Neurospora crassa OR74A: one gene and its partners. The protein of the gene in region 1 binds, or shares a complex with, the protein of each later gene. Links are inferred from orthologs where the notes say so. Each region holds a gene or a part of one and is shown in the gene's direction. Other genes may lie near its edges. The genes, in order: NCU01761, NCU05717, NCU08728, NCU08296, NCU07386 and NCU03343.

Evidence for each region.
Region 2: NCU01761 (region 1) and NCU05717 share a complex: the UniProt entries of both Saccharomyces cerevisiae proteins name them as parts of the mitochondrial small ribosomal subunit. The link is inferred for Neurospora crassa OR74A from reciprocal best matches to the Saccharomyces cerevisiae genes RSM27 and MRP17.
Region 3: NCU01761 (region 1) and NCU08728 share a complex: the UniProt entries of both Saccharomyces cerevisiae proteins name them as parts of the mitochondrial small ribosomal subunit. The link is inferred for Neurospora crassa OR74A from reciprocal best matches to the Saccharomyces cerevisiae genes RSM27 and RSM19.
Region 4: NCU01761 (region 1) and NCU08296 share a complex: the UniProt entries of both Saccharomyces cerevisiae proteins name them as parts of the mitochondrial small ribosomal subunit. The link is inferred for Neurospora crassa OR74A from reciprocal best matches to the Saccharomyces cerevisiae genes RSM27 and NAM9.
Region 5: NCU01761 (region 1) and NCU07386 share a complex: the UniProt entries of both Saccharomyces cerevisiae proteins name them as parts of the mitochondrial small ribosomal subunit. The link is inferred for Neurospora crassa OR74A from reciprocal best matches to the Saccharomyces cerevisiae genes RSM27 and RSM26.
Region 6: NCU01761 (region 1) and NCU03343 share a complex: the UniProt entries of both Saccharomyces cerevisiae proteins name them as parts of the mitochondrial small ribosomal subunit. The link is inferred for Neurospora crassa OR74A from reciprocal best matches to the Saccharomyces cerevisiae genes RSM27 and RSM25.

Annotation. Positions count from the first base shown.
Region 1 is NC_026502.1:2,519,936-2,524,920, forward strand, and holds NCU01761 (hypothetical protein), read left to right. Parts: upstream 1-1,818; 5' UTR 1,819-2,022; coding exon 2,023-2,061; intron 2,062-2,118; coding exon 2,119-2,327; intron 2,328-2,391; coding exon 2,392-2,450; intron 2,451-2,512; coding exon 2,513-2,532; 3' UTR 2,533-3,071; intron 3,072-3,163; 3' UTR 3,164-3,937; downstream 3,938-4,985. Other genes in the region: NCU01762 (nucleolar RNAse III), read right to left, coding at 498-1,556; NCU01760 (pumilio-family RNA binding repeat protein), read left to right, coding at 4,359-4,487. UniProt on the Saccharomyces cerevisiae protein: Component of the mitochondrial ribosome (mitoribosome), a dedicated translation machinery responsible for the synthesis of mitochondrial genome-encoded proteins, including at least some of the essential transmembrane subunits of the mitochondrial respiratory chain.
Region 2 is NC_026503.1:613,551-618,211, forward strand, and holds NCU05717 (mitochondrial 37S ribosomal protein YmS16), read left to right. Parts: upstream 1-2,158; 5' UTR 2,159-2,420; coding exon 2,421-2,444; intron 2,445-2,580; coding exon 2,581-2,612; intron 2,613-2,874; coding exon 2,875-3,172; 3' UTR 3,173-3,871; downstream 3,872-4,661. Other genes in the region: NCU05716 (hypothetical protein), read left to right, coding at 663-736, 789-1,477. UniProt on the Saccharomyces cerevisiae protein: Component of the mitochondrial ribosome (mitoribosome), a dedicated translation machinery responsible for the synthesis of mitochondrial genome-encoded proteins, including at least some of the essential transmembrane subunits of the mitochondrial respiratory chain.
Region 3 is NC_026502.1:3,810,583-3,815,288, forward strand, and holds NCU08728 (mitochondrial 37S ribosomal protein RSM19), read left to right. Parts: upstream 1-2,109; 5' UTR 2,110-2,488; coding exon 2,489-2,531; intron 2,532-2,631; coding exon 2,632-2,647; intron 2,648-2,948; coding exon 2,949-3,128; intron 3,129-3,590; coding exon 3,591-3,627; 3' UTR 3,628-3,879; downstream 3,880-4,706. Other genes in the region: NCU08727 (hypothetical protein), read right to left, coding at 137-499; NCU08729 (transcription initiation factor TFIID 23-30kDa subunit), read right to left, coding at 4,411-4,706. UniProt on the Saccharomyces cerevisiae protein: Component of the mitochondrial ribosome (mitoribosome), a dedicated translation machinery responsible for the synthesis of mitochondrial genome-encoded proteins, including at least some of the essential transmembrane subunits of the mitochondrial respiratory chain.
Region 4 is NC_026504.1:2,501,346-2,506,387, reverse strand, and holds NCU08296 (mito ribosomal protein S4), read left to right. Parts: upstream 1-1,726; 5' UTR 1,727-1,915; coding exon 1,916-1,960; intron 1,961-2,148; coding exon 2,149-2,628; intron 2,629-2,730; coding exon 2,731-3,567; 3' UTR 3,568-4,111; downstream 4,112-5,042. Other genes in the region: NCU08295 (RNA-binding La domain-containing protein), read right to left, coding at 1-472, 537-800. UniProt on the Saccharomyces cerevisiae protein: Component of the mitochondrial ribosome (mitoribosome), a dedicated translation machinery responsible for the synthesis of mitochondrial genome-encoded proteins, including at least some of the essential transmembrane subunits of the mitochondrial respiratory chain.
Region 5 is NC_026501.1:6,128,936-6,133,821, reverse strand, and holds NCU07386 (Fe superoxide dismutase), read left to right. Parts: upstream 1-1,749; 5' UTR 1,750-2,019; coding exon 2,020-2,281; intron 2,282-2,662; coding exon 2,663-3,333; 3' UTR 3,334-3,794; downstream 3,795-4,886. Other genes in the region: NCU07385 (hypothetical protein), read left to right, coding at 1-1,226. UniProt on the Saccharomyces cerevisiae protein: Component of the mitochondrial ribosome (mitoribosome), a dedicated translation machinery responsible for the synthesis of mitochondrial genome-encoded proteins, including at least some of the essential transmembrane subunits of the mitochondrial respiratory chain.
Region 6 is NC_026502.1:1,034,043-1,038,494, reverse strand, and holds NCU03343 (mitochondrial 37S ribosomal protein RSM25), read left to right. Parts: upstream 1-2,078; 5' UTR 2,079-2,418; coding exon 2,419-2,804; intron 2,805-2,894; coding exon 2,895-3,231; 3' UTR 3,232-3,412; downstream 3,413-4,452. Other genes in the region: NCU03342 (hypothetical protein), read right to left, coding at 1-1,466; NCU03344 (hypothetical protein), read right to left, coding at 3,413-4,426. UniProt on the Saccharomyces cerevisiae protein: Component of the mitochondrial ribosome (mitoribosome), a dedicated translation machinery responsible for the synthesis of mitochondrial genome-encoded proteins, including at least some of the essential transmembrane subunits of the mitochondrial respiratory chain.

The DNA of each region.
Region 1 (4,985 bases):
GATGTTAATGATTGGTCGAGCGCTTCATGATTACCGTACAGAAACTTGAGGTCCCCATCTTCTATGTCTTTCTTTGTCCTTGGAGTCGGGGTTGTCAAAGCATAGTGGTTTGTGAGACCTGAATTCAAGATAAGCCTCCATATTTTTGAAAGTAACGAACACTCCAGGTAGGGGTATAACATTCCGAAGATGCCTGATGGATATCTCTACTAACTATGAAAGGAGGTGCTGACCTGTGGATGAACAAGATGGTTCATCATCGACTTTGGCCACAGCTTGTTCGTTGTGGTTTCTCTTCGTATGTGCAAACGAAACGGTCCCTGGTCCTCCCTTGAACCCGGGTCGTTTACCCGTAGTAATGAATGGCCTAATTCATCTGCTATGCGTCCTTCTCATGGCCGACGCCCGAGGTAAACCACGAGACTACGGGCATGTGATGGTTGGTGTGTCGAAGTATTAAAGATCAGGGGCATATGAGACCGAACAGTACTTGGTCGCTACAGCACGCCGCCAGTGGTTTCCTGTGCCGAAGGCTGATCCTTCAAGGGGAACGTCACTCCTGCCTGCTGCAGCTGGGCTTCCCGCGCGGCCTTCATCTCCGCCTTCTTGTCCGCAAACTTCTTGAGCAGCTTCTTGTTATCCAAGGCCATTTGAGCTGCTTTCTGACCAGCTTCCTTCTTGCTCAAAGCACTTCCGTGCCCAAGTTGCAGGTTGGTCTCCCCCCAGCCTGTCATAAAACAGCCAATAGCGAAAAGAGGCAGCTTGGTTCCCCTGTCCTTCAGGTTTTTGGAAGGGAGATCTTTATACTCGATCTTGACACCCCTGGCTCCAATGGTAGCTTCGAGTACTGTCTTTGGGTCGAGTGTCTGGCCACTTGCGGATTGCTTTTGCTCCGGCTTCCTGGCCTTCTTCTCTTCCTCGCGGATGTACTCCGCCATGAGAGGGCCCCATAGGGCCTTGAGCCAGTCTGAAGCACGCTGAATCCCATTGGCAGGATCAGAAAGAATCACGCCTCCTACATAGGCTTCGAAAAGGTCTCCGAGAATCTTAATTCTGACTTTTTGACTTGCGTTTGTACCGCCCACTCTGCCCTCCATGTTGAATTCTTCCGGGATATCGGCCATCTTGTCCAAGCCGTAATAGACCGAGAATTCGCCTAGTGTGGTGTTGCGGATAAGCATCTCGCGACGTTGTGCGCTTTTGCCAGCCGGCAAGGTCGGGAAAGTTTGATATATGAAGGAGGAGGCGATGAGCTCAAGATAAGCGTCGCCAATCCACTCCAGCCTCTCATAACTTGCAACAGGGTCGTTGTTAGCTTTACCAGGGTGTGTGAGCGCCGCCTTTTTGAGTGCCGGGTCCAGAATGTCGGGGAGCGGTGGCCGCATTCTCTGGATGGTAGCGAGTGTCCATTTGGTATTGGCATGCAAAGAAGGAATTTGGACGGAGGTTGCGGACTCCAATGTAGCGCCTTGTGATGCGGATGGTGCAGAGTCTGACTTCGCACGCTTGGAGGGCGGTTCTGATACCTCCTCCGGGGTGGGTCCGTGTTTCGGCATGGCAAGATTGTACTTTCCTACAAGCAATCCGAATGCCTCAGATCGCGCGTTGATGCGGCGATGAAATTGTAGAGGCAGAATCGAAAACGGATTCTTCAAGATGAGAACGAATCCCGGGCCATTGCGTAGTGGAAACCCTAACCCCCTGTTCGACCCCAGATCCACATCAGGGCGCTGCTGCTGCCCTGTTATGGCCCGTAGCTGTCATTCTTAGCGCCTGTCAGCCCTGGAACGCGCCGCCCTCGGCTTCATCAGCGGGCTTGCGCTGACGGCCCGGGGACACTGCGGCTCGAAAACAACGGTTGCAGTCCGTGCCCCACTCTTTGTACCCATGAATGGTTATGATTGGTGGCGCATTGCTTGACGGGCTGGAGCGGGAGATCTCTGAACGACGTCGAACAATCCGGCGGCTCTTGTTGTTGCTGTTTCTAGAATTCGCGAATCCGCAATTCCATGTAACGGCAAGATGTCGGTCCCACGGGCGCGGTTACTGCAACTTGTGAAGGTATGGAACAGTTCCGAATGAGGGGAAAAACCAGTTCGCTAACTAGGTTATACCTAGGCTCGTTGCGAGCTCTTCTCGACGACTTTCAATCCCGAAGGCATCCGGACCGGTAACAAGATCCTGCGTCAGCGACTCAAGGGCCCGGCACTTGCGACCTACTACCCCCGCAAGAACGTCGGTATTCGCGAGCTTCAAAAGGAGTTCGGTACTCTTGGTCTCGAGGTTGACGATGAGGTCGATGATGATCGTTTGGAGCACTTGGCAGCGTTCGTCTCTCTCATTCCTGCTAGTGTTTACTTGCAAACATCACAATCTAACCATACCTTACAGTCTGAGAGCCCGCGACAAGGGAGCGCCCAAGAAGAAGAGAACGGCACCCTCGGCGGCCGGTGGGTTTCGTCTGCACCTCTTACTCACGGTTCAAATCTCTAACGTTCATATTCTGCGACAGATGCGAAGAAGAAGAAATAAGACACGGCGTCCCGAAATCAGAACTACACGACGTGTACATGTATCATATAGTGGGCGGACTAGAATCATATACCCCGAATACCTGGCGTTCCTCCGGCAGTTGGTCCATTTCGACATGCATTTTTCCGCTCAGTACTTGATGCCATCACAGTCTCCCCGTGACGAGGTGCTGCCACAACTGTACATATGGTTAGCGACGCCCGCGGCACTTGCCCCTTCAAATGGTGTTGAATAGCCGCCTAGTTCGACAAGCAGGTTTGTGGTTACCAGCTTTGTCAAAGGTTCATCTCGGGACTGTCCTCCCATGCGTCTACACAAGTCTCTTGATGCATCGAACAAAGAAGCGCCTGTTGATAAGCTGAAGATACCGTATCTTGATTCCATAGCGCGGATGGGCTTGAGGGAGGATATGACCCTTCGCCATTGTCCCTCTTTACGAACAGCTTTGATCATTTGGGTGAAAACAACAAGCGAGTGTCGGATCACCCAAGATCTTTGCACAAGCCGTCCATGTCAAAGAACGCCATGAATGTGAAAAGGTGCGCTGGCTCTTCCTGCTCCATTTCAAGCCTTTTCCAAAATAAAAATGGATAGGAAAGGAAGCTAATCACACCTACCATAATTTGCAAAGACCTTGGCATCCCAGCCCTACCGGACGAGAAAAGCCGACCCGCCACTCCTATCTGTTAATGTCCACGATGCTAGGTGATGGTGCTGTCTTGTTGAAGCTTCCAGACGTTGCATGCTTCCCTACCTACTCTACTCATTTTCATTCCGACGAAGAATGGTAGATCACACCGAATGGCAGGTGACATGAACACCTAGGTATGAATACCGCCTAATGAACTCGGAATATGTCATTGGGGCTCGGACGCCTAACCCAGAAACCCGTTGATCGTATGGGAAGTGGCAGCCGGACAGCAAGGTCCTTAACGCGGCAGGATGTCTCATCGCTGGCTCGGTTGACCATCATGCCCGACGTCCCCGCGACACGTGAAAAACTTCGGCTTGGTGATAAGGATCCCGCTAGGCACAAGGACGGGAGGCACGACGCCAAAGGCCGATGATCGTTAGCTGGAATACCGGTCGCAACTTCCCCAGCGACTCATCATATTCGATTCCGATCTTCGGATGGACGAGCCGATGTGCGTTCACTCGTCAGATCATCTGATGGCAGCCCAAGTGAGCTTTGATCACAGAGATTGCGGATTATCTCACAGGCATCGTGAACCCCTTTTTGCTTGGAGTGTCCGGGCAGTGACACCTGGGCAGTCCCGGTCACAGTTCCATCGTGCCTTCCTCCCTCGGGAGCCAAGGGTCCACCATTTCGACTTTAGTCTCGGTCATCCCGGGCTCATACCTACCCTAGAGGTACCTACCTACCTCTAGCCCTATTCTGACCGGTGCGTCCATCGTCACCAAGAGGTTTGTTGCTGTTGCCTTGCGAGAAGGTCCAACTTCAGGGCAACTGTAGCTGAAAGTACGGGTATCTCGGGCACATTTACACTCTTTCTTCCGTCCCAGACCAGCTCTTGGAGCTCTTTCTCTTTTCCCCATTATATCAACACATATTTCTAAGGCTTCTTCTCTTTCTGCATCTTCTTGTCGGTGCCATCACCAACCGTGTTCTCTCAAAAGCGGTTTGTGGTCATCTCGCCCCCAAGCTTCTATTTATCTGTGTCTTTCGTCGCCATTGGAACCAAATCTACTGCTTTTCTCTATCACCATCTTGAGCATCTCCTCCCATTGTGAAACACCAGCACCCAAAGCATCCCTCCAATCCCCTCAGGCTAGGTCATTCAACATCCAGCCCTCAGCAGACGACCATGTCTGCCGTCGCAGCATCCACCGGCTCGCCCAACGAGCGCCGTGCTTCGGCTTCCAGGAGTTTCTCGCAGTCTCAGGACGAGAACACGAAGCTTCCCGATGAGTTGATGTCTCCCAACTTGCAGCAGGTATGTATTCTAGTTGTATGTTACGTATTCAGTTGCATGTTTCAGGTTCTTTTTTTGGGTCTTGGGAAATTGCTGCCCTCACCTCCCGCCGGGTCGTCAGAACCTTGCCAGCCCTCAGACGGCGACGAACTGCAACACACTCGGGACGAAAATCATTACAGCGGACTGGCAGCTGTCGGGACTAAACCTCTCGACACGCGACCGCCAGATACTCACCAGCCCCGCTCACTCCCACAGCAACATAGATTCAGCCACTGCTTGCTCACAACCTTATTCTTTTCTTCAACCGAACCATCGGACCTGTATTTTGTCCCAGTCACTCCTTTCATATTCACTTGATCTATCTCGCGGCTGTTACGCCTTAGAACCCTCTCCTACATATCCACAGGCCTTGATCACTGACCCGATCTCTGCTAGGACGTCGAGCCGTCCCCTCAAAAACACTCCATCAGCGCCCTTAAAACGTCCAAAATAGCGAATCGGAAGTACACAAAGGTA
Region 2 (4,661 bases), on another chromosome or scaffold:
CATCGTTTTTTGTTTTTGTCAACCGTCAGCATTGGTTTCCAGCCCCCGGGTTCTTATTTTCTGAATTTGTTGGAAAACATCAACAGAAGGGAGATGAGGGAGGCGCCGAGAATGCAACCACGCAACCAATACGCATTTCCATGCACACCGTGGTTCTCCAGTGGAGCCCCCAGCTCAACCTTAATGTCATTCCCAAACGAATGAATGCGACGCCCCTTTCCCATCAAAGGCATTTATCACCACTTTTGCACCTCAAGATGCCACCACTTGGCTCTTCAGACACGAAAATCATGTTTTCGAAACTGTTTGGTTCTTGTTTCCGAAAGAGGAATGGACGCAAACCCGCAAAGTCGTCGGCTACTCCAAGCGAAGATGCGACTGAGACTGAGGGGAGCCACTCGCGATCACAATCTCACTCCCGATATCCCCAAACGGCGGACAACGTGCCTGGGTCTCTTCAGTTGCAGGATCTTCCGTCTACAAAAACTGTCCTACCGACTGGCAATGGGGAGTTGGGTCCACGCATAGATCCCAAGGGAATATCCACTTCATCCTTGGAAAATGCGCCGGAATTAGAGTCCGTGATGGCTTAAGATGCCTTGCTTATTATTTTCAAAATTTATCAGGTTGGAAACGGAAGACTAACCTTACTTCGACCACAGGTATATGAATGATCGGGAAAGGAAGCGTGGCCCAGATGATGCGTTGAATCAGTTGTTCGACCGTCTGGTCGGCGGTATGTCTCTTTGCCCCTGCCTCTCATTCCCCTCGAACTAACATCGATACAGACGAGGACCGAGCAGCAGCAGGAGCCGGAAAACCCGTCGAGGCCATCGGCGCCGAAGCCGCCCAAGCCTACATCTCCTCCATGGGCGCCAATATCGAAAACGTTGAAGCTTTTGTGGTCCTTGAGATCGTCCGCGCCGACTCCATCGGCCAAATCACTCGCCAGGGTTTCGTCGAGGGGTGGTCCTCCATCTACCTCGACCACCGCATTCCCGCAGACCCGGCCCACCACAGAAACTACGTCCGGATGTGCATCCAAAACCTGCCTCAAAATCCGGCCTACTTCAAAAAAGTCTACCAGTTCGCTTTTGGCCTGGGTAAGGAACCTGCCCAAAAGGCACTGGAGAAGGACGTTGCCTTGGTATTCTGGGATTTGTTTTTGGGCACCGAGTCTTCAGATACAGGACTAGGACCGAGGCCGTGGAAGAGCAAGAACGTGGATTGGCTGGGTGCGTGGAAGCGGTTTTTGGCGGAGAAGTGGACGAGGAGCGTCAACAAGGATATGTGGAACCAGACGCTGGCGTTTGCGGAGAAGACGATGGTGGATGAGACGCTCGGGTTCTGGAACGAAGACCAGGCGTGGCCGGGCGTGATTGACGATTTTGTGCTTTGGTGCAGGGAGCAGGGGATTGCCAAGGCGCCTGCACCGGGGGCAGCAGGAGGGGAGGGGATGGATGTTGAGGATTATTAGAAAGTTGGTCATGAGCATCCGGGGAAGGAGTGTAAAGGATGAAGTCAAGTGGGTGGATGTGGTTATACGGGGGGGAGCATATGAGGATGTTGGTGAGGACTCTTTCGCCTTGGCGCAGGGAGGATAAGAGGGGCAAAGAAGAGAAGCACTGATGGTCATGCTGTTGCCAGTTGATGCTGGGAGGGCTTTCGGGGCTCTCATGGCGGTTATCATCTTGTTGAGGTTGCTGCCATGGTGGTCAAGCGGCGCATCGAAAGATCAGAGGTTGGTTCGCAAAGAGCAAAGAATACATTTACACAGCGCATTTCCAGATACACAATACCGATAAGAGCATGCATTTACAACATGAAGGCCATTCAAAGGTGTATGAAGCGGTTGGGAATGTTTTTAGAACAAGTCTGATTTCTCATTGCTTCTAGACCACATTATAACCCTTTAGGAACTTTTAAAACAGCTTTTCTGGAGGACCATTACACCCAACAGATGTCTCTACAATCACCGAGGTGACAGCTGAAGAGTCGAGTAAACAACCTCTCTCCCACCCACCCTTGATGAAGTGTGTACACCCCTATCCGGAAGGCGGTCAACGCGGCAGAATCTCGACCTTCTTCCTGGACCCCACAAAAATTTCCAAGCAAGCGGCGGCACCCGGACGCCCACTCGCAACCAACCCGCTGCGGCACTGCGGCAATGCGGCACTGCTGACGGCAACACCCACCACACCCTACAGTACTTGCTGAGCCCGGTCACAACAGCAGCCACAGCGGTACCTACTGTGGGGCTCCGAACTTCTTATCGACGTCCAAGGTTCACTAGGTAGTACTATACGCGCTTTCGGCCGGTCGCAATCGCATCGCATCGCATCGCGAAACTAAACTTCTTTTTGCGTTCGTTTCTTTCCCCGAACCGATTGCCCGCCGCCCAGCCCAAACTACCAGACAGGATGTTGTATGAGACTATTGGTATTGTGAGTTACCCTAGGGTTGAACTACAGGAGCAGGTTAAGAGATTGGGGGTACAGAAAAGGAAAGGAAATGGAAAGGGAATGGGAGAGGAGAGAGATGGAAAGAGACAGTCTTGCTAATGATTGCACTTGTGAACAGGTCCGCCCGGGCAACATCGCCGAGGTGAAGGAGTATGTTTTTTTCCCCTTCTCTTTGTTTCCACTCGATAGTCCGTCCGACTTGAAGAAAACTCCCTCCGTCTTTCCTTTCCCTTACGAACCCGACCCGACCCGAACCGACCGATCTTTCTCTTGTCTTCTCTTCTACCACATCATCCACGACCCTACCTACCTATCACCCCGACTCCGACTCCGAACCCAACCCAACCATCCCATCCTCTACCAACCTTCCACACCTCGTCGTACTAAACAAGAACCAATAAAAAAAAAACAGACTCGTCCTAACAGCCGGCAAACTCATCCTCAACCAAGGCGGCGTCATCCGCGACATCAAGAACTGGGGCACGTTCCTGCTGCCCCGTCCCATCTCCACCAACCAGCAGCGCCATAACCGGGGCCACTACTTTGTCATGCGGTACGACGCCAGCATCGCGACGCACGAAGAAGTCCGACGCACCATGAAGGCCGACCCGCGCGTGATCCGCACGGCGAACGTGAAGTTGGGCGATGGCAAGCTGGAGACGCTGTCGAGGTTTGGGGCGATTCCTTGGAGGAGTTTAGAGGAGGCGTAAATCTGTATCTTCTGGACGGAGAGCAAAAGAGGGGGCGGGTGGGGGGGGAATGTGTACGATGGATGGACAGATGGATGGGAAATAATGAATCGAGTCGAATCGAATCGACATATATCCATCCCATCTCCTTACCGGCTTGTGTATACCAAAAGGGCCGTGATGAAGCAGACCGGACAACATATATGGACGGATGGATGGCAGGCATCTTTATACCTTCTTACCTCCGTCGACAGCAACAATAAAAACGACCGAAACACCCACCAATAACGATCTGGGCCTTCGATGAGCAATGGTACATCGTGAACGCACGACACCTGGATAGCAACATGGGATACATACATACAGACAGGCAGCATACGTATCCGAAATCTTCATTGCGAATGGGTTGCGGAACCATCCATACCCACTCAGGTTGAAGGAAGGAGGAACCTGACTCCTTTTCGACCCCGTTAATGGATCACCGTCGTCGATCAAGAAGTTCTGGCGTGAATTAGGGTGCACTCGAAACGGTCAGAGTATCATATCAGTCAAGCCAGCTAGAGAACAAACTCCCGGACCCGTCTTTGTTCATGTACGATAACGCATGTGGAATGTGATCCGCTAAAGAATACGACGCCATATTCAGATTCCTTAAAGCAAGGTAGTTCATCGGTCCCGGCTCAACAAGGATGGCTTGGGATTAAGAAACGTCAGACACGATCATATTAAAGTTACGGGTGATCTTTGAAAACTTGACGTGAGGGCTCTTCGCTCAAACTTCATCCTCGTTTCAGTTACCACACTTGTATGCTACACTACCTCCCCTTATCAAATGTAGTTGATCGATCCTCTCGAGTTCCCAGTTAAACACTATGATATCAGTCTCGCCAACACACGGCAACACACGGCAACAGAGGCATGTTCATATCACCAAGTCAACACACATCCAGAACCGGGGCTCACTAAAGTGAGATTTAATGTAAACCATCTCTATCAATTACCTTCCACTACTTTCACTCGGCTACCTAAATAATGAATCACTCCAGTCTTCCCTCTCTCTCTCTCTCTCTCTCTCTCTCTCTTCAAAACGAAAATTTTTCAAATCCAGTCTTTCCACCCACCATACCAGCAACGCCCGGAACAAGCAAGCAGTAAACTGACCACCACCACCACCACCACCATCACCAACCCCCTTGACGCTGCGTTTGTATCCTACCACTTTATCCCGGCGTTTAGACACAAAAGACCCGGTAGTGAATGCAAGGAAGAAAAAAAAGGAAACACAAAAAAACGAACAATAAGAAAAACATAAACTCCCAAACTCCATACCAACCAGCACAACCGCCTGCAGAAGAAAACCAGGAAAGTCAGGAAATGCAGTAAAACCACGATCGGCCGATCTATGGATCGAGGCCACGCAAACCAAGAGTGCCGTGAAGCAAAACATCTGGAGCAGAAGAATGAGAAAAAACAAGAAAAGCATATCCCTCCGTGGAACCTTTTTGACGCG
Region 3 (4,706 bases), about 1.3 Mb from region 1:
CACCGCACCTCAGCCCAAAATACCTTGTACAAGGTCCCCACCCATGGGATCTGGATCAGCTAGACATGGATGTTCTCATTTTCCCATCCCCTGTGAAGATCGAAGAAATGGATATCCCATCTGGGAAAGTTACAGCTTAGATGTAACTAATGGGTGTTGGCCTGCACCGGCAGCCTTTTGGACGGAGGGTTGAGTACGTCACACGTCGAATGCACGCTATGTTTCGTCTTATACGAGCTGGCGAATCGTAATAGTGATGTTGGCCAGACGATGGCTTGAAACGTCCATGGCGACATGCCGGGCCCGTCACTTGTTCTCTCCTCATGAACGCAGGGATGGGACGATGGCGGAGTTGAAGAGCCAGCCCGTGTTCGCTGGTGAAGACCGTGGGAGATCCGGATAGGTAGGACCGTAGTGTAGTGGTGGTTGTGGTGTGGTGGTGGACGTCTGGCAGCGCTGAGCGGACAGGGGTACTGGCGTTGACAGGTGCGGCGCGCATGCATATGATGCAGGACAGAAGCGTGACCAGTCAATTTTGGGAAAGACGACCTGCTGAATCCGTTCAGTGGAGATGGTGCCTGAGACGGCCTGGTTCAGTTCCGTGCGCGCGAGCAAGCTCAACGGTGGAACACTCCGACACGCAATGCTAACGAGCCAGTCGGCGTCTCGTTATGATGGTAGAATTACTCGTGGAGCACCATGCCGTTATAGTGACCGTTCAGCCCGAAAGAGGAGGGATCTGGAGAGCATTAGATCATGTGAAGAGACGGGTAACACTGATACTCAGGCACTCGTCCGCATTTGCGGTAGTCCGACAAGTTGATCAAGGCACACTCAGACACCCAGGGACGGGAAGTGCTCCCTACTAGTTTATTCCGGGAACGGTTGATCTTGATGGGTAGCTAGTGCAAACAATTGCGCAGCAGTCGAGCTGCTTGATGATGATGATGATGATGATGGAAGTTGGAACTCCATGGCTGGCTGGATAGTAAACAAATGCAGCCCTGTTCTCAGGTGGCTCGCGGGAAGAACGAATGCGGTGCCCTTCTCGGACTTTGCGCGCAGACTGGTGAACCGATCAAATGTTGATCAGACCGACCAGAGGGAGGGGGGGCATTCGTCTGAGGGCATCGACGATGCAAGCACACCCACAAATGCGCAAAACAAAAAAAAAAGAGTGACGGATGGTGAAATCCAAAAAGAAGGTCGTTGTGAACGCGAACGGGAAACCACGGCCAGATAGATATATTGACTGCGGTGGCGCTCTTGCCTAGACGAAGAATCCATGACGGCCCAGTCCATGCCCAGGCAAGGCAAGGCAAGGCACAGCACGGCAGTTCACGCCTGCCTTAAACTACCTACACTACGTCCTACATTGATGTACAAACATCATACATACTGTAGTGGTGGCGAGGTGTATGGAACTTGAAATGCTGAGGAAGGAGCAACACTGAAGAAGACGGAGTGCACGATCGATGTGAACCACTGAGCTGCAGTCAGGAATCGACGGACGCACGCCGGTTATCGGCCACCACCAAGAATGCCAATAGTCCGGAATCCGGGATGCTATGTTTTGGAGTATCGCAGTCGCGTTAGTCCTGAACCAATTGACGGCAGCACGGGCAGCAAGTGTCTGAGAGTGCCAACCAGTGCCGCCGGTTTGCTAAACGGTATGTAAGTCATATAATACTTGCTGTATCCTAGTTCGAGTAACACCAAGATTTCGGCCCCAAGTGCTGCTCGAGCAGGGGGGCTTGCCAGTACAGGGGTAGGTACCTGTAGGGTGTGGTGCACGAGTCACACCACCATAGCATTAGATTCAGCAGTATCGTGCATAGATTTTCTTCTTCTTGCGCACCCAAGAAATGCACGATAACACAAATTGGATGCTAATTGATCTTTGCCATCAGGTAGACCCCGCTTTCTCTGCTCACTAAGCAAGTGCCGTTTGACTGAAGATTTCCGTACCTCTCCACTGCAGGGTTGACATCCATCTGTATATTGACGGTAGGTTACCTTGACAAAAAGAGGTGTTTAGAGGGTTATCATCGTAGTGTAATTATGGGGGCGTTGCTTTTAGATATCGATAGACAGGGTTACCCGTGCAGGGGTTTTTGCTGTATCGATAATCGCTTTGATGAATGCCCCCTAACCCTGTAGAAGTACCTACTGCGTACATAGGTAGCCAGGGGGGAGAGTCAGCGGGGGCGTCCGTACTAGGTATGCCGGCCGGCAACCGATAAGCTTGGCAGTTCCAAAATTCGGCCGTGGTCAGCGCTCCCGTCACTGCCGCCGTCGCCGTGATACCTGGAACCGCTCCGCCCGCCCGCCTGCCGGACTCGCCGACTGACTGACCGACCGACCGACCGACCGACCGACCGACCGATTGATCTCAAGACCATCCGAGTGTCGCGTACGCGCCCGGCCTCTTCCCGCTATTTGCAGCCACCACCCATCACCACCGAATTCCTTCTCGTTCGCGCCCAACATGCAGCCAACAAGGGTTCTTTTCAAGAGATCCGTGTGGAAGGGTAAGTTATTTTGTTTTGTCTCCTCCTAAGCTTCACCTTGCGATAATGTACTCTTTGCGCCGTCCAAGACAGTCAAGCTAACCCGCATCGCCGACTCCAGGTCCGCACATTGTCCCGTAAGCTCTACTACCCCTTCCCCTCGTTTCTGTCCCCGCGATCTCAATGACGACGACGACGACGACGACGACGACGACGACAATTCAATGCGCCGGCGCACTCCCGAGGACTCTCTCTCCTCCCTGCTCCCGATCAAAGCTGCCGGCGCATGTCCATCATTCTCTACGAGCCCATCCCGCGACATTCCCCTCCATCCGCGAACCAACGCAGTCCAACCGAATCCAACCGCAACGCTACAAGCATAGTCACCTATCTTGAGCGCAAACGGGCACTAACCACCAACGCATACACACAAAACAGTCTCCCCATCCAGCGCCCCGAGCCCGGCAAGAAGATCGCTCCCATCCGCACCCAGGCCCGGTCCGCCACCATCCTGCCCAACTTTGTCGGCCTCAAGTTCCAGGTACACAACGGCAAGGACTACATTGACTTGACTGTCACCGAGGAGATGGTGGGGCATAAGCTTGGAGAGTTTTCTGCGTAAGTGCTCTTTCTTTCTTTCTTTTTTTTTTTTTTTGGTTCTTTCTTCCCCTACTTTCACTAGTCTACTTTTTTCCTTTCTTTTCCTTCTTTGACTATTATTTTTCAATTTCAATATATTATTTTTTTAAAGGGTCTTTTTTTTTTCCTTTTTTTTTTTTTTTTAAGATGGCGGCGGAAATGCCATAAATGTTGGCGGTGTGGGAAAAGAAAAAAAAAAAAAAAGAATTTTCCTACACAAAATTCAATGGTCTGACACGGCATGGCCATGGCATTGGCTGGTGGCAAGCCATGAATGGCTGGACGGGCGACATGTGTTGGACGCCACCACGGGATGATGATGATCGTAGGCGGTGGTGCAGTGTGGTCAGCAGAAAACAAACAACACAAAAGACACACATTGGGCATATGGACATGAACAATTGGACCGACACTAACTGAATGGTTCAAAACCTCAAACAGTACACGCAAGCCCTTCATCTGGGGTAAGAAGAAATAGACAAACCAAACTTCGTTCGTCTCTTCAGTGATGATGATGAAGAAGAAGAAGAAAAGAGAAGAAGAAGTCGATTGATTGATGGATGCGGGTTTGACACGTTTTTTCTGTGGGCGGCGTTTATTTCGGCAAAAAACAAAAAAGCATATTTTCGTTGCTTATCTGTATCATACCATACCATTGTCAGAGGAGGGCACAGGTTTCTGTACACATATCATATTTTGGGGCAAATTAGAACTTTCGCTTGGATTCATACTACTGTGCTGTGTCTGTTGTTTCAAGATGAACATGTATATGTTGTGTAGTGTGTAGTTTAATTATGCTTTGTAATTGATAAAAATATGCTAGTATCGCCAGGTATTATTATTTTTAGCCTAGACTAGTAGTCATAACGGGTTCACTGAGAGCAAACAGGACGATGGCAATCTTCCATAACGGCGCCTCCTGAACGCCAAGCGCAAAAAAAAAAAAAAAAAAAAAAAAAAAAGGAAAAAAAAAAAGGAAAAAGAAAAGAAGACCCGATGACCCCAAACCCCTTTTGCACCGTTCCCGTGTTGGACCCTTGATTGCCGACCCTTTGCCCATCCATCCATCCATCGATGCATCATCCTCTTGATATCCTCCTCCTTGAGCAAGTAACCACTTGTTGCCGCCCCTTTAAGATAGTATCATCCTTTGGTCTGCCATGCCACCATTCCGCTCACACTCAGGCAAACCACCCACCGTTTCCCCATCCCTTCTCATCAGTAGAGCAGACAGTCCTGCACCGTGACCGTGACTGCCCCCCTAGCGATAAAACTCGCTCCTCTTCACATTAACCCCAAACTCCCCTGCCGCCATGCCCAAATCCTCCATCGTCAGCACCGTCCTATTCTGGCTGCCACCCTGTCCACCACCACCGTACCCCGGCCTCTGGATACCCAACGGTCCACCTCTGCCCTGATCCTTCGCCCCCGCCGCCTGATTGGTCGGTTGTCCAGGAATAGGGAACCCCGCCGCGGCACCCAGACTGCCCATCGGGTTGTTCGCGTTGGTGTTGGATGCCCTGATGCGGGAATACTGGTAGGCGTCGGCGGCGATGT
Region 4 (5,042 bases), on another chromosome or scaffold:
GATCCTGCCACTTGGGGGCGGGGTTCAGGGCAACAAAGGCGTTGGCTTCGTCTTCCGTCTTAAACTCAACGAAGACCGAGCCCTTGAATTTGTTCTCCTCGTTACGCCTCAGCTTGACCAGGTTGACCTGACCAAACTTGGTGAAGAAAGCCTCGATGTCGAACTGAGTGGATCCGGTCTCTTCGCCGAAACCCTTGACGTAAACGCTGGCAGCCAGACGGGCCTTTTGCGCATCAGAGGACGAAGTGTAGGCCTTCTTGCGCTTGACCGTCTCCTGGCCCTCCTCGCCAGACACATCCAAGAAGGCGCTCTCCTTCAACGCGGCGACGACGGCCGAGTAGGGCTGGAACATCTGCATGCGCTTGAAGCTGCAGATGGTCTTGAGCGAAACGGGCTTGTTCTCCACGCCTCCGGTCGTCTCCCACATGAACTTATCGGTAGGGAGGTTGCTGTCGCTGAAGTAGAACTCGACCTAAGACTATTTGTTAGACACGGGGACACGCAGCATGCCAACTGTTTTTGTAGTCTGATCGTACCTGGTTGCGGATCTTGACGGGATCGTCAGTGACGGGCTGGGTCGAAGGATCGTATTTCCTGTTGTTCTTGTAGTCGGCGCGGTCGATAGACTTGGTAGCCTCAGGCTTCTTCTCCTCCTCCTTGCTGGCATCCTCAGTCTTGGGAGCCTCCTCGGCGGCGGGGGCAGCCTCCGCGACGGGGGCCTCTACAGTCTCGGTTTGGACCTCGGTCTGAACATTCTCGACGGCAGGCGCAGCCTCAGTGTTGGCGGTGGTATCGCTCATGATGAAGGTCGGAGTGGCCTGTAGGTATTTGAAAGGGTAAAGTACAAGCGGCTGTAAAGGCAATTGACCGTCTAACGTGACGCGCGTGCACGGAAGAGAAGAATGGATGTAGATGGCCGGGAGAGAGATAATGGTGAACGGATGATGAAAATGCAGAAAGTGCACTGGAGACCGGGGACCAAGCAGGCAAAACGACGAAATTATTTAGTGGGTCCTTCAGGTGCACTCCAGTTTTGGGGCGGTAGGCGCAAAATGTTATTGCAGGGTGCAGTGGGGGAATGGTGTTGGGTTGGTGCAGGGTTGATTGTTGATCGACGCGACAGGAAAGTCGGCCATTCACCAGCAAATCCCAGGACGTGTGTGAAGTGTAGAGGTAGTCACGTAGTGTAAGTCAGGTAGGACCTCGATAATTCTGAACTGTAACACACACTTCAATTCCCTTGTCAAAGATCGAGAGTTTGATTCAGTCTTGTCCATCCATTACTGAGCTCCCTCCCTCCATCATCATACAGCAGCGTAACCCATCTGCCCTGACTTTTTCCAGGGTCTGTCGGCATTGGAGTCATATCGAGGACTGCACTTGTCAAAACCTCCCCCTCAGCGCAAAAAAATGGAAGCGGCGAAACCAAGCAAGCAACCAAATCAGCCCCACCCAGGTCCAAGGGAACCGCCTTTGGGTTTAGACTTTTTGTGCCGATTTCTACCGCCTGGCTCTGCTTCTAGCCCCACTCCACTTGCACCCGCAATCCGCCAAGAGGTTGCGGAGCTATACCGCATGCGCTCTAGCTCCCGCATCCTGTGCCTGCCAGTTCTCCACCATCCGGCCTGGAGTTGACGCGCACAGTGGCCCGAGCTTCTCACGTGAATGCGACCAATGGGCGAGCGCGTGCTCCAATTCGGGTCTGAAATAATTTTCGGAGGACGGCGCCCGATAAGAGGTGGAAGGGCCCCGGGAAGCTCCCCTCGTTGGCAGTGCTGCTAGGTGCCCCGGACCGCTCCGGACTCGACAATCTCCAAACAACCTGCGCCGAACCGGTCCGTCCACTTCGCCAAAAGCACGGGGCCTACAGTCCGATCCGATCCCCCGAAGCTCCTCCAAACACACCACACCCAACATGAAGATCCGGAGGTTGTTCAAGTACCACAGTTTGAAGAAAAAGGTATGTGCTATTCGGTGTTTTATGCCGCCGTCGCCGGGTTTGCCGTTGGTCATCGTCGCCGCCGCCGCATCATCACCCCATTCGCCCCATTACCTACTACCTGCCAGTCCCATTGCCACGACACTCAACACCCACCACACGCGATCATGCTGACGTATTTTGTGTGCGCTTCTTCTTCTTCCGAATAGCCCATCAGGCCGACATGGAACAAATATAACCTGTACAACCTGGCTACGGCCGGGAGAGAACCCAGAATCAGCGGCAAGACATTCTTCCAGCAGAAATGGCTCGCCAAGTCCTTGACACGAGCATACCACGGCGAGCACATCAAGGAACGCAAATGGGCGCGCATGTTTAGCCGTCGCCTACCGGCCGTCGTCAACATGGACCCGGCATACATGGCCAAATATAACGGCAGCGAACAAGCCGCCGGCCGCGGTTCCGGCCTCTCAGAGCCCCCAGCCTACGAGAAGACCGCCGACGAGAAACCTGCCAAGCAAGTCATCGCCAACCCGGGCAGGAAGGTTCCCACGCCGTACGAGCAAATGACCTTTGCGCCTCTCGAGAGACGCCTCGATATCGCCATATTCAGAGCCCTCTTTGCCAGCAGTGCGAGACAGGCCCGCCAGATGGTTGTGCACGGTGCCGTCACCGTCAACGGCAAGAAGGCATGTACACCATCACAACGTTCCAATACCGAATCCCACAATACAGTGCACCCATGCCAAAGCTGCTTGTTTCGGCGCTAACATTACCCGATCCTTTTGCAGATGAAACACCCCGGTTACCTCCTGAACCCTGGCGATCTCTTCCAAGTCGACGTCGAGCGCGTCCTCTATGCGACCGGTGCGCCCAAGGACAAGAAGCTCCTCGCCGCGGCTATGAAGGCCGCCAAGAAGGAGCTTGCGGAGGAAGCACAGGAAGCCGCCGAAGAGAAGGATGCGGAGGCCGAGGAGGCCGAGGAAGGAGAGGCACAAGAAGCAGCCTCCAAGTCCGGCAAGAAGGAGAAGCAAGTCGACACCTCCAAGTTCGACGAGGCCTGGAACCGCAAGTACGAACTCCTGCAGCTCCAACGTCTGCTGCAGTACGCCAAGCACATCGCCGACTCGCCGTCTCACCAGCTCTCCGCGACGCGCAAGCAAGCATTGCGCGCTTTGAAGCGCGACATCAAGGCCGCCATCAAGCAAGCGCAGCGGCGCGACGGGTCCGTTTCGCCAACCGGTAACGTGGTGGACGACCTGACGATGCTTCTCGAGCGCCTTGCGGTCTCCCCTTCCAAGGCCATTCAGCAGGAGGAGGCGGCCAAGGAGCTGAGCAAGAAGCTTGACAAGCAGTCGCGCCAGGTGCTCAAGAAGGTGATCGAGTACAACGACGAGCACGAGGACAACGAGATCGACCCGAGCAAGCCGTACATGACCCCCTGGAGGCCGCGCAACTACATGTCCGCTTTCGCGTTCATCCCCCGCTACCTTGAGGTCAACCAGAACATCTGCGCGGCCGTCTACCTCCGCCACCCCGTGGCGCGCCCGGGCGAGTCCGAAGTACCGTCGCCTTTCTCCCCCACTATCAACCAACTCGCGTTCAACTGGTACTTACGGAGAGGTTAAAGGAGGTCTAGTTAGGAGCGAGGGAATGAAAAGGGGAGATGGAGGGAGGAACGGCAGTCACTCTCTGCCGTCTCAGAGCGGTAGAATTCGCCAATGGACGATTAGAGTCGCGCGCACCCAGTTTTTTGCATGTCGCGGGTACGCTCTATTGTGCTTGTTGCATCTTCAAGGCAACCTCGGATGATGTGATACTCTGCACCTGCTGCGGCTTCAGTTGGACCATGCGTTGGAAATCGGGTTCGGTCTCGATGAGAAAGCTGCGAAGTGGGCGGCAAATCTCGCGATTCCCGGAGAAAAAGGAGACGGGGATGGATCATGCATGAGATGAGTTGACTTCATACGTATTTTGGGCACATTGCGCGTAACAGTTTGTTCGTTCCTCAATACCCGAACAATCTGTTGCAGACTCATTCAGTTCGCCCCCTTCGGCATCGATGTACGCTACATGTATCATTACCACTATTAACTAAATGGATATAAAGAGGGGCATAGACAAATTTCCTTCTTCTTTGCGTAAGAAAGTCATGAGACAGATGAGAACCACCGAGACACCTACGGTCTCCTCTCTGAAAGCTCAGTGCTTATATAGTAAAATTGCCAATCATAGCATTGTCGATCGAGAGGAGCAGTGCAAAGGTAAACACTTATCACTGAGGAAGACGGCAAAATTCGCCTTGAGAGCGCGAGAGAGAAAAAGGCTAAGAAATAACTATCTAGGAGAGGCTAAGTGTACGTTGAGTGTGTGTATGTTTTATGTGGTAAGCAAGAACCCTCCGTGGCTGGAGAGCGAAGCACCAGTTGAGAGAATCGGCCGGAAATGTTGGGTTGGGTATGACCGACCGTAAACCGTGAAAAGAAAAACCTCCTACAAGAATTCCCCGTGAAATAAAAACATCTGATCGCCGATGAAAGCAGTTAATAAAATACATGTGTTGTTGGGATATCTGGTCGTTCGTTGCTTTTCGTCCAAGTGAGATTTCCCGCCTGTTCCCTTACGCCCCCTTTGCAACTTGCATATGGTGCAACGTCGCGAGCACAATTCAAACCCGACTCCTTCTGATCCCTCTATGAGCTTCTCGGTTGTGAATTGCTCCTCGCTCCCGCCAGCCACAGCATCCTAACCGACTTGTCAGTCATGGTGGCAGCCGGAAACATGATGTTGCCGACAGTCGGTCAAGAAGACAAGGGCAAGCAGAGCCGCGAAAGGGAGTTGAGGGCCTGATTGCTGCTGCGCCGCAAACATCTGATGGGGAACAGCCAACGAATTATCTCTCTTTCTTCTCCCTCATATTTTCGGAACTCAACTCCCTAAAGCAGATAAGAGGATATATCTGTTGGAACCATGCTGCCATTGTGAAGTAAGAGATTCTCGAAAAAGCTCCTCCGGCCCAATTACATCTGCATTAGCTTTTCAAGAACAAAGTCGACCGGACCGCACCCCGTCCCAACGACGGAACACACCGGCTTTTGGAAAT
Region 5 (4,886 bases), on another chromosome or scaffold:
CTGTCCTCTCCGCCCTGCCAGGAGCGTCTGCGTCGACCGAGCCAGCTACAACAGTACTGCCCCTTCTTTCGCCCATTCTTAGACAGCGAGTACAGCTTCTTTCCGGCGCCAGCTCAGATCCATGGATCCGTCTTCTTACCTATGACACTTCGAAGGTCTCCAGACTCACCGAGATCGCCCAAAGCGGTAGCCTGGATCCCCATCCGGTATCGGGAGAAGTGGAGATAGATTGGGATTACGACGTCCACATCAAGTACAGGAGACCTGACCCCGAGACACTTCAGACCCTCGTGGTGTTGGGAGAGTTCGACCTGTTCATTCGTCTTGTGTACTGCGTCAACGACAAAGACGGTGGCGGCGACGGATGGCGTGTGGGCGAGGTCGGTGTAGCCAGCAATCCATCTCCCCTCGAATCCTTCCAGGGTCATGCTACACTCGATGAAGCAGAGAAGGCGTTCAAGGCCCAACAAATCTCTGTGCCAGAAACCAAACCAGTTGCCCAAGTATCCGTCCAAGCTGAACCGGTTGAAGAGGATGACGACGATGATTACTGGGGCCGATACGATGCCACGCCTTCCCAAACTCCCGGTCAAGGCCGCTCTCCTGCGCCGCCGTCCTTGGGCGCCGGCCTCAACACTCAAAAACCCCATCCCTTTGAGCGTAGTCCGTCCGCCGAAGATGCGTACTTCGCCCAATACGAATCCGTACAGCCAGCCATGGACCCCCATGATCCAGACGAGGAGGCCTTCCAGGGCGGAGCTGTGGGGGGTGGTGCACCGCTTAATGGTCTCCCCCTTCGCAGGTCTCCGTCGCCAAGACAACAGGCATATGAGCCGCCTGTCATCAAGTCCGCACCAGCGCCGCCGCCATTGGGCCTAAACGGAGACGGCAACGGCGGTTACGTTCCATCCCGATCACCCTCTGATAAGTCCGGTTCTGACTCAAGTGGCCGGCGCATGTCCCAGGCGGACGAGGAGAGGATGGAAAGCCTTGCTCATCCGCGCCCAGCCAGTAGCGCCAGCTCAAACGGATCCCGCATGGTGGCCAAGCTCGAAGAAACGGCGGAAGCGCAAGATCGAGTCGAGTTTGGAGTTAAGCAGCACGTCTCAAGGACGATTCGAAGTCTATTCCAGCTGTCACGCGGCGCTGGCATCAGTCGTGAAGAGTTCGAGCGGATGGTCAGGAACGAGCTTGATGTTCTTGCGATGGTGGAGGACGACGTTTGAATGACCAGGGAAGGAAGGGAAATTGATTCAAAGGGGGTGTCGGTGTTCACTGTTTATATTCCTCATTCTGTTCGGGATACTGCATCATCGGGTCGTTTTTGGCGTCAAGTAGTACTGGTGGGGGAAGTCCGGTGAGGGCGTCCAGTTCGCCTCGTGATTATTGTTAGTTGTTCGGACTTCGAGCAACGGCGTCCACGGAATTATTTTACAATAGCGTTACAGAATATCGGTCAAAGTACGATAATGAACATAGCACATACACGAGCAAAGTAGAGAAAGATGCCCAGTATCTGTGCACCAGTACATCATCGAAACGGTTGAAGACGCAAGTCAATGTGAACGCCAAGTACGGAACTCCGGAATTGGCAAACAGCTACCCCACCAAGGACGGTAGGTACCTCTCAATAACATCCAGGGTTAGGGTCAAACCTGGCTCTTTGCGAGGACGGTGAGGCTGCCGGCCGCCAGTTCGTCCCAACGATTGGTCCCTGCTCCAATGGCCGGGTCCTTCCGCAGCGGAGCAAAAAAAGTCTCGAAAGTCGCGTCCCACTTCGACCGTCTTCCGGGGTTGAGTGCCCGTGTGTTCTGAAGTGCGTCCGCTCTGCGCCGGCAGCCCGTCCAGTCTTGAAGTTGTCTCCGTCCGTCCTCAAGGTCCGCCCCCCACACACACTGTCCACCGTCCATCTCCCCCGACCGAACGACCGGCCGACCTTCCCTTCCACCGAACCTTTCCTCCGACCCCCGGGCCGTTTTCTTGCGGAGAAAGAGACCAAAAAAAACCCCAACAGACAAAATGATCGGCTCCATGGGTCTAAGGATACCCCGTGCGACAAGCTCGCTCCTCGGCCGTGCCGTCAACGCTGTCGCCACCAACCAGTCCGCCGTCGCCGGCGCCAGCATCGCCGCTCAAAGGAGATGGCAGCACTACCTCATGCCGCTTCGCGACAACTTCGAGCAAGAGGGCATCCGCAACTTCCTCAGCCCCGGCTCCGTCAACATGGCCTATACCGAGTACCAGACCTTCATTTTGGAGAAGCTTAACGCGCTTGTAGTAGGTACGTACGGATGACACAGCAACACAGAACATACTCGTCTGGGGAATTTGGTGTCGCTGCGTTATCATGTGGCACGGCATAGCACGGCATGGCATGGATGAAGGTTACGTGCGAGGATTACTGGCTGCGAGGAATTGGTATCCTTTGGTCGAAAACGCCAAGCTGGGATGCTGTTAAGCCTGAGAGGAAGAGGAGGCATTAGCGCAGTGGTTAGGCCACAAAGGAATTGGTGGAGGAAATAGAAGGAAGGGGACTCGGATTGAAGCTCAAGCCAGAGCATGCCCTGCCTATCCGGGGGGGAAGACATGATGTCACCTATTTTGCTGCATGGGAGATATCTAACCGACAAACCACTTTGCTTACTTCTCTTTCGTCAAACAGGCACCGACTTTGAGCAAAAAGACACCAAGTCCATCGTCCTCGCCACCGCACGCGACCCCGAGCTCGCCCATGTGTTCAACCACGCCTCCATGGCGCACAACAACCACTTCTTCTTCGACCACCTGTCCCCGGTCCCCGTCAAGATGGGCGACAAGCTATTTTACCACATCAACGAGAACTTCGGCTCCGTCGACACGCTCCGCGACGAGATGATCGGCACCGCCGTCTCCATGTTCGGTCCCGGTTTCGTCTGGCTCGTCCGCACCCAGCTTCCCGGTCAGCCCGTCGCCCTCCGCGTCATGGCCACCTACTTGGCTGGTTCTCCTTACCCGGGCGCCCACTGGCGCCGCCAGGAGATGGACGCCCAGACTTCCATCGGGAGCTCCCCCCAGGGCTTGAGCAACGGCCAGCGCTTCTTCGAGCGCAGCGCAGCTGGGTTCAAGGGCAACAAGCTTGAACCTACGGCTCCCGGCGGCACTGATTTGATTCCGATCTTGTGCCTCAACACGTGGGAGTACGCGTGGCTTCGCGAATACGGAACTGGTGTGGGTGGTATGGGTGGTAAGCTGGCGTATGCGCAGAGCTGGTGGAACATGATTGATTGGGCCAAGGTCGAGGAGGAGGCCAGGCTGGAGACTAGGATCTTGACGGGCGGTGATAGCTCTGTTTAGCCTCTTGCTTCCATTCTGCGGGGGAAGAGGAGGGAGGAGTGAGGAGGAATTGAAGTAGGAAGTGAAGCGGGAGCGTGAAAGCTTAAGCCTCGACTTTTTGGTTCTGAATTACTCGCGACTACTGGTCCATCAGTCCATGCCTGCCGCCGCCATCGACAGTCCGACGGCTGTCACCTTGTCCGAGGGGTAGAAAGAGCGAGTGGAACGGGATGGAGATGGATTATTGTACGGTTGCTGCCCAAGTTACTTCTGTGACTTTGTCTGTCTATATGGAACCCGGATATATAGGGAAAAGTTGTTCTGTACGATAGGATAGCATGACGGTGAGACCGGCCGGAAAAAGAGAAAGGAAAGTAAAAACCAAGCCAGCCCCGGCAGCTGCCATCTATACTTTTACATGTGTATATTACCAATGAACCAAATGTGTGTGTGTGTGTGAAAGAGGAAAGCAGGATAACGGCAACGAAGCAACAAACGGATAGGTCAAATGCAAATTGTAAATATAGCACTTTGAAAGATGGACGCACATTGTGACATCGACATCCAACCTTCTCTGCTTACTTGACCAAACTTTTTAGTACATCTCCTAAGGACCTCATACGGACCTACATGTCCGACTACTCCTTACTCCGCATGATGTCTGCTTCCTTCACGATATCAGCTCACTAGGTAACTACCACGACACATCAGCTGTTGAAAACATACCTGACCGCTGCCAGTTGTAGCCCTTCTACCTTTGTAGTTTCAGCCTCTGATTTCTCCTCCTTCGCAAGGCCTCAGGCTCCATGCCGAGTGATCGGTGACAAACTGAATCTTGACTATTGACTGTTAGGTTATCAGATTTGCCTGGCCGAGACCTCACTGGTTCGTTTCAGCGCGGTAGCTACTAAAAGTAGGTACGTAAACCGAGCACCGGTGAAGGACGGCAGAGTGAGTGTATCGGTGTCTCGATTGCCATGCCATGCCATGCCATGTCATGTCTCGCATTGGGACTCCGTACGTTGGATCCGGTCAAAGATTTGGTTCGAACTGGCTTTACTCACTCACGGTCACTCAATCGATGTGTAATGTCCCGGTTTTGAAACCACCCAAGTTGAGCACGAGGTAAAGCTCAAGGGAGGATCAGTCGAGATGATTCATTTTTTATATATAGAGGTATATATGTATATTGATATACATGCAACACAACTGTTGTTCTGACGAAATTTGATCTTTCTGTCTTTCTTTCTTTCTTTCTTTCTTTCTTTCTTCCACTTTAAGTTGATTGGGTTTGGGCCCTCTTCTCAGCTGTACCTACCTTTGACTAGACAACATCTGTTAAAATATTAAACTCTCCTTGTCAAACCCGGATGTCTGTATCAAATGAATCCAGTGACACCAAAAATCCAGTCAGATACCGACGGGAAGATGCCATGCCATGCCATGGTTTATCTTAGCACACGCAGATGGCTTGAGTAGCGCAAGCTCCTGGGCAACGCTCGGCAGCAACCTATGAAGATTGCTTAATTGTCCACGGCGTACTGGTAGTGTATAGGTTAGGCCTGGTGTAACCG
Region 6 (4,452 bases), about 1.5 Mb from region 1:
GCTGCTTCCTCGCCCGATCGCAACAGTCCAGATATGACGGCGTTGAGGACAACCGTGTCAATCATCTCGCCGGCCTCAACCATCTCCCGAAACGCGGCGCGCAGTCCACCAGTCTCCCTCTTGAGCCCAAAGAAATGGATCAAGCTTACGTGGTGATAGCGGTTGAAATAGTGCCCACGACTGACCATTTCTTGGTAAATCATTTCAGCGAGAGTGAAGTTGCCAGCCTTCGAGGCCACATCAAACAAAATGTTGAAGGTTACCTCGGTCGCCTTGATGCCAGCGTCGACTTCCATCTCGCGCCACAGTCTCATGGCAGACTGCGCCTGAGTTTCGGTGACAGTGCCAACATATCGGCTTGCAAAAGAGATGGCGCAATTCCACTCCCCTGCCGTCAAGGGCATGCTGCAGTTCCTCACATCCGCTATGACGGCGAAGTACCGCAGCATGGACTTGGAGTTTCTCCGCTGAGGCTGCCCTAATGCTTTTAGGAGCTGATGTCGCAATCGACCATTGATGTAGGGCATGCGCGGTTCCGGCAGTTGCTGGTAGAGGTCGTAGATCGTGTCAAGGTCAACCTTGTGTGGAGTGCGCAGCCGCACGAGTACAGCAAACCTGAGATCGCTCAGTGTGTGTTGGCCAAATTCGTCCAGTCCAACCACTTCGTCCGGGCCTGGATACTCGTAGTCATCTTCATTTTGTACAAAGGTGAACCGGGGCCTATCAGCGGGCGCATAATTATGCATGTAAGGATCGCGAATGAACTTGAGGTAGTCTTCGACCGTTCCATCTAGATCATGATAGGGATCTACCAGTTCAAGCAGCTCTTCTTTGGTGAGATGACCGAGCTTCGCACTGTGGGATTCGGGCAGCTCTTGTGATTGTGGGTTTGCGCCCGAGTGGGACTCGGTCGATAGATCGTCATGTAGCGCGGATGGGGCCGAGAAGACAGAGTCGGCGGGCTTCTGATCGGCACTGGGTTCGGGGGCAGCTGCGGCAACGGGGTCAGGGACCGGGGCTGCCGCCGCCGCCGCCGCCGCCGTGTGGCTCCGCTTTTGGGGAGCAGAGACCGAATAGCGGAAGAAGTTGGAGTCGAGTGCTCGTCTGCTGTTCGTGCCGGACAGACTGGTGGGAGTTACCCGCAGGGATGGGGTGGTCAGTAGCGGGCAACCGGTGGAGCCGCCTATGGGTCTCCTCGCGACCCCATCGACAAGGCCACCACTTTGTGAGCTCCAGCTGCCGTGGAAGCACCGTCGTTGTTGTACTGGGCCGAGGCCTGCTGTCGCAACCTGTCTTCTTCGTCCGCTGCCTTGGTCACCGAGCTGGATGGATGCTGTGGTTTGCGACACGGAACTGGTGGCAGCAATTGCGGTTGCGGAGGCGGCAATGGCAGACCAATTCCACGACGGACGATGCAAGAAGATGGTGCCGCATATCGACCCTTCAAATCGGCTGGAGACTTTCATGAGCTGCCGCCGTCCAACATGATGGCCTGCCCATTCAGCCAACCTTTTCTTGCCTGTTCCCCGCGAGTGTCGGCCGCAATTCGATGAAGAAGAGCTCAGAGAAGACGCAATCACAAGCTGCTGGCTGCTGCGCACTCGATTGGCACTCGATGCAATCGCGGTTACTGGCGAATTGGATCGTACTCAGGTCGATGTGGTCAGGGCGTCAGATTCGTGGAGGGCGGGGAAGTATGGGGAGAATGGGGAGAACTCGAGTCATGAAGTGAGGAGGGATGTGGCAGGAAACTGGGGTCGGGTGAGCGACGCGATGATTGAGAAAAAGTTGGGGTAGTGTAGTGGTGTACACTACAATACATGGACGAGGCACAGCTCCAGGTACCTTGCCGTGAGCACACCCCACCCCTGCCTCTACGAAAGAGGGGAAGCTGGAATAGGGTCCAGTCTCGGCCGGGCTCAAGACCCCCACTTCTGTTATCGATAAGCACCTAGCTAGGTACTTCCCTTCCCTTTGGTCGCTTAATGGCGGGGCGGGGAACTATTTTTTTTTTGCCGGCACGTCCTTCCAATTGCTCGCCCGCTCGCGGCAGGCAGGACAGCAGGTCGCGCGGGTTACCGGCAACAACTGAAGGTCGTGTCGGATCGTGCCTGTCTCCAAAAGGCACAGCTCCACTTTGGACAAAGCTAAGCAAATAGCGATAACGATAGGTTTGGCGGGTGAGGGAATCCATTGTGCCTACGCAGCGCAGCGCAGTGTATTATTATTACCTTACACAGGTATACACACCCCGTAACCTCGTAGCCTTGCCTTTGCCTTGGGAGGGTACCTGAGGAACGAAAGGACCGCCGAATCCGCCAATGGTCCTCTGATCTCAGCCAACACCACCGCTGCCGTCGATTATCACCAGTAATTCCCTCCACAACACCCAAACGCCGCCAGCGACGACCGGACAAGATGGGCAAGGGGCGCATCTTCCAGGCCGCAAAGGTCTACCAGAGGGCCAGCGAGGCTGCTGCCACCAACATCGTCTCTGGCCTGCCACCACGGAACCCACCACTGTGGCTCAAGGCCATCGAGTCCATCCCTCCCGCTGAGATCAACACCAGACCGTATCCGATCCAGCACTCTCCGCCGAACCCGCGAGCGCGCAAGCCACGCAACCTCTTTAGGCCCACCAAGATCGTCTATCCCGAAGATGAGTTGCGCCGCGACTTCTACCGCGACCACCCTTGGGAGTTGGCCAGGCCTAGGATGATTATCGAGTTGGATGGCAAGGACGCCCGTTTCCTTGACTGGTCCAAGGGCCTCAGGCAACGCGGCATCCCCTTGTCCGGCGAGAGGTACGTTGTTGGATGAGCGCATTGCACATGGCGCAAAAGCCCGGCGGACAGGCATGGAAATTGGATGCTAACCCGAATCGCAAACGATAGTGTCGTTCAACGTCAGCTCTGGCTTATGGAGAATCAAGGCATGACCAAGCAGGAAGCCTACGACAAGGCGCGCCACGAGTTCTACAAGTTGAGGCAGTTGGAGCAGATGGAGCGCAGGATAGCCGTCGAGGAGGCCCGCATGGTTGGTGGCTACTTTGGCAAGGACCTTCTGACGGTCGGCATGGAGCTCGAGAACAAGACGTATGAGAGTTGGAAGAAGTGGGCTACGACCGAGATCGCCCGCCAGGAATCTGCCAGGGCTTCCATGTACACCAATGTCGTCGACAACTCTGCGCTCGAGGAATCTGAGGAGGACGAGCTGCTCGCGCAGAATTAAGGCAACGAATTGGAGTAAAAGGGGAGGGACAGAGTGGTATAGCGTGGCTGATACCCATCCGTGTCGGGGAAAGACGATGCCGGCCCACTCGTGCACAAGTGTAAGAATATCACGTCTCTTTGTACATATAGAGAGGGCAAGAGACTTTGTAGAAGTACATGTGATTCAGGAGCCTGGTCGCCTATCTTCGAAGAAACCCGGCAGACACCGGCCCGATATACTGACTGCCCTTGAATATTTTCGCCAGACTCTCGTGCTGCACACCGACAACATCGGCAATGCCCGTTTTTAGAAACAACTTCCCCGTCAGACTCATCGTCTTGGACCTGGCCCAGGTCTCGATGTACACCACCTTGGCCCTGTTTTCGGGTACGAGGTAGAATATCTTGAGCAAGTGGGCCACCAAACACACAATAAAGCCGTTGGCAGGCCCATTTGTAACAATCACATGCGGGTATCTGAATCCCTTTCCATGATCCTTTGTTGACCGTGGGTTGGGCATCCGTGTGAGGGCATTGGCGGCATGAAAGGCGGATATGAGGCAGGTAAAGGGTGCCGTATAGAGCGGTTGATGGACCTTGCGCGCACGGCGGATTAAGAAGATATCAGAGGTGCCTGCTCGATCATCTTCTCCGGGATAGGCGTCCTTGATAGTCGCTTCCAGAAGGCGGGCCTTGCCGAGAGAGGAAGTGTCTCCGATGGAGATGATGTACCGCCGGTGGATGTTTGCCTGGCCGCGAAATGACTGCTTGATGGTCTCAATCATCTCAGCAGTGTGTCCACCAGAGCCAAGTATATATGTGAAGTAAATAGCAGGAAGAGAGGTGGTGTTGGGAACTTGTGTGCCAGCGGCATTGGGTTGGGGCGTATTGCTGGGGACGAGCCAGCTGCCACCTGGCTTTTGACGCCGGCGTATCATTTCAAAGTGCCGGTAGACAATAAAGGTACCAAGCACTATCCCGACGGTGATGACGAGGGAGATGAGCCATAGCCATGATAGACCAGAGAGGAGAAGCCCGGCTGCGGTGGAGGATGCTGCACCCGCAACAAAGGTGGCTGCTGTCAAGTTGATGCCGCTCACAGTCTCAACATGTAACTGAGAGTAGCTCTCAGCTCTGGTGTCGGGCTTTAGCTCTTGATCATTGCGCGATTCTTCCTTGCCCGCCAGCACGGACGCTGAAGTAGTAGGGGCCATTCTAGAGAGCCCCAAAGGTCTCTTCA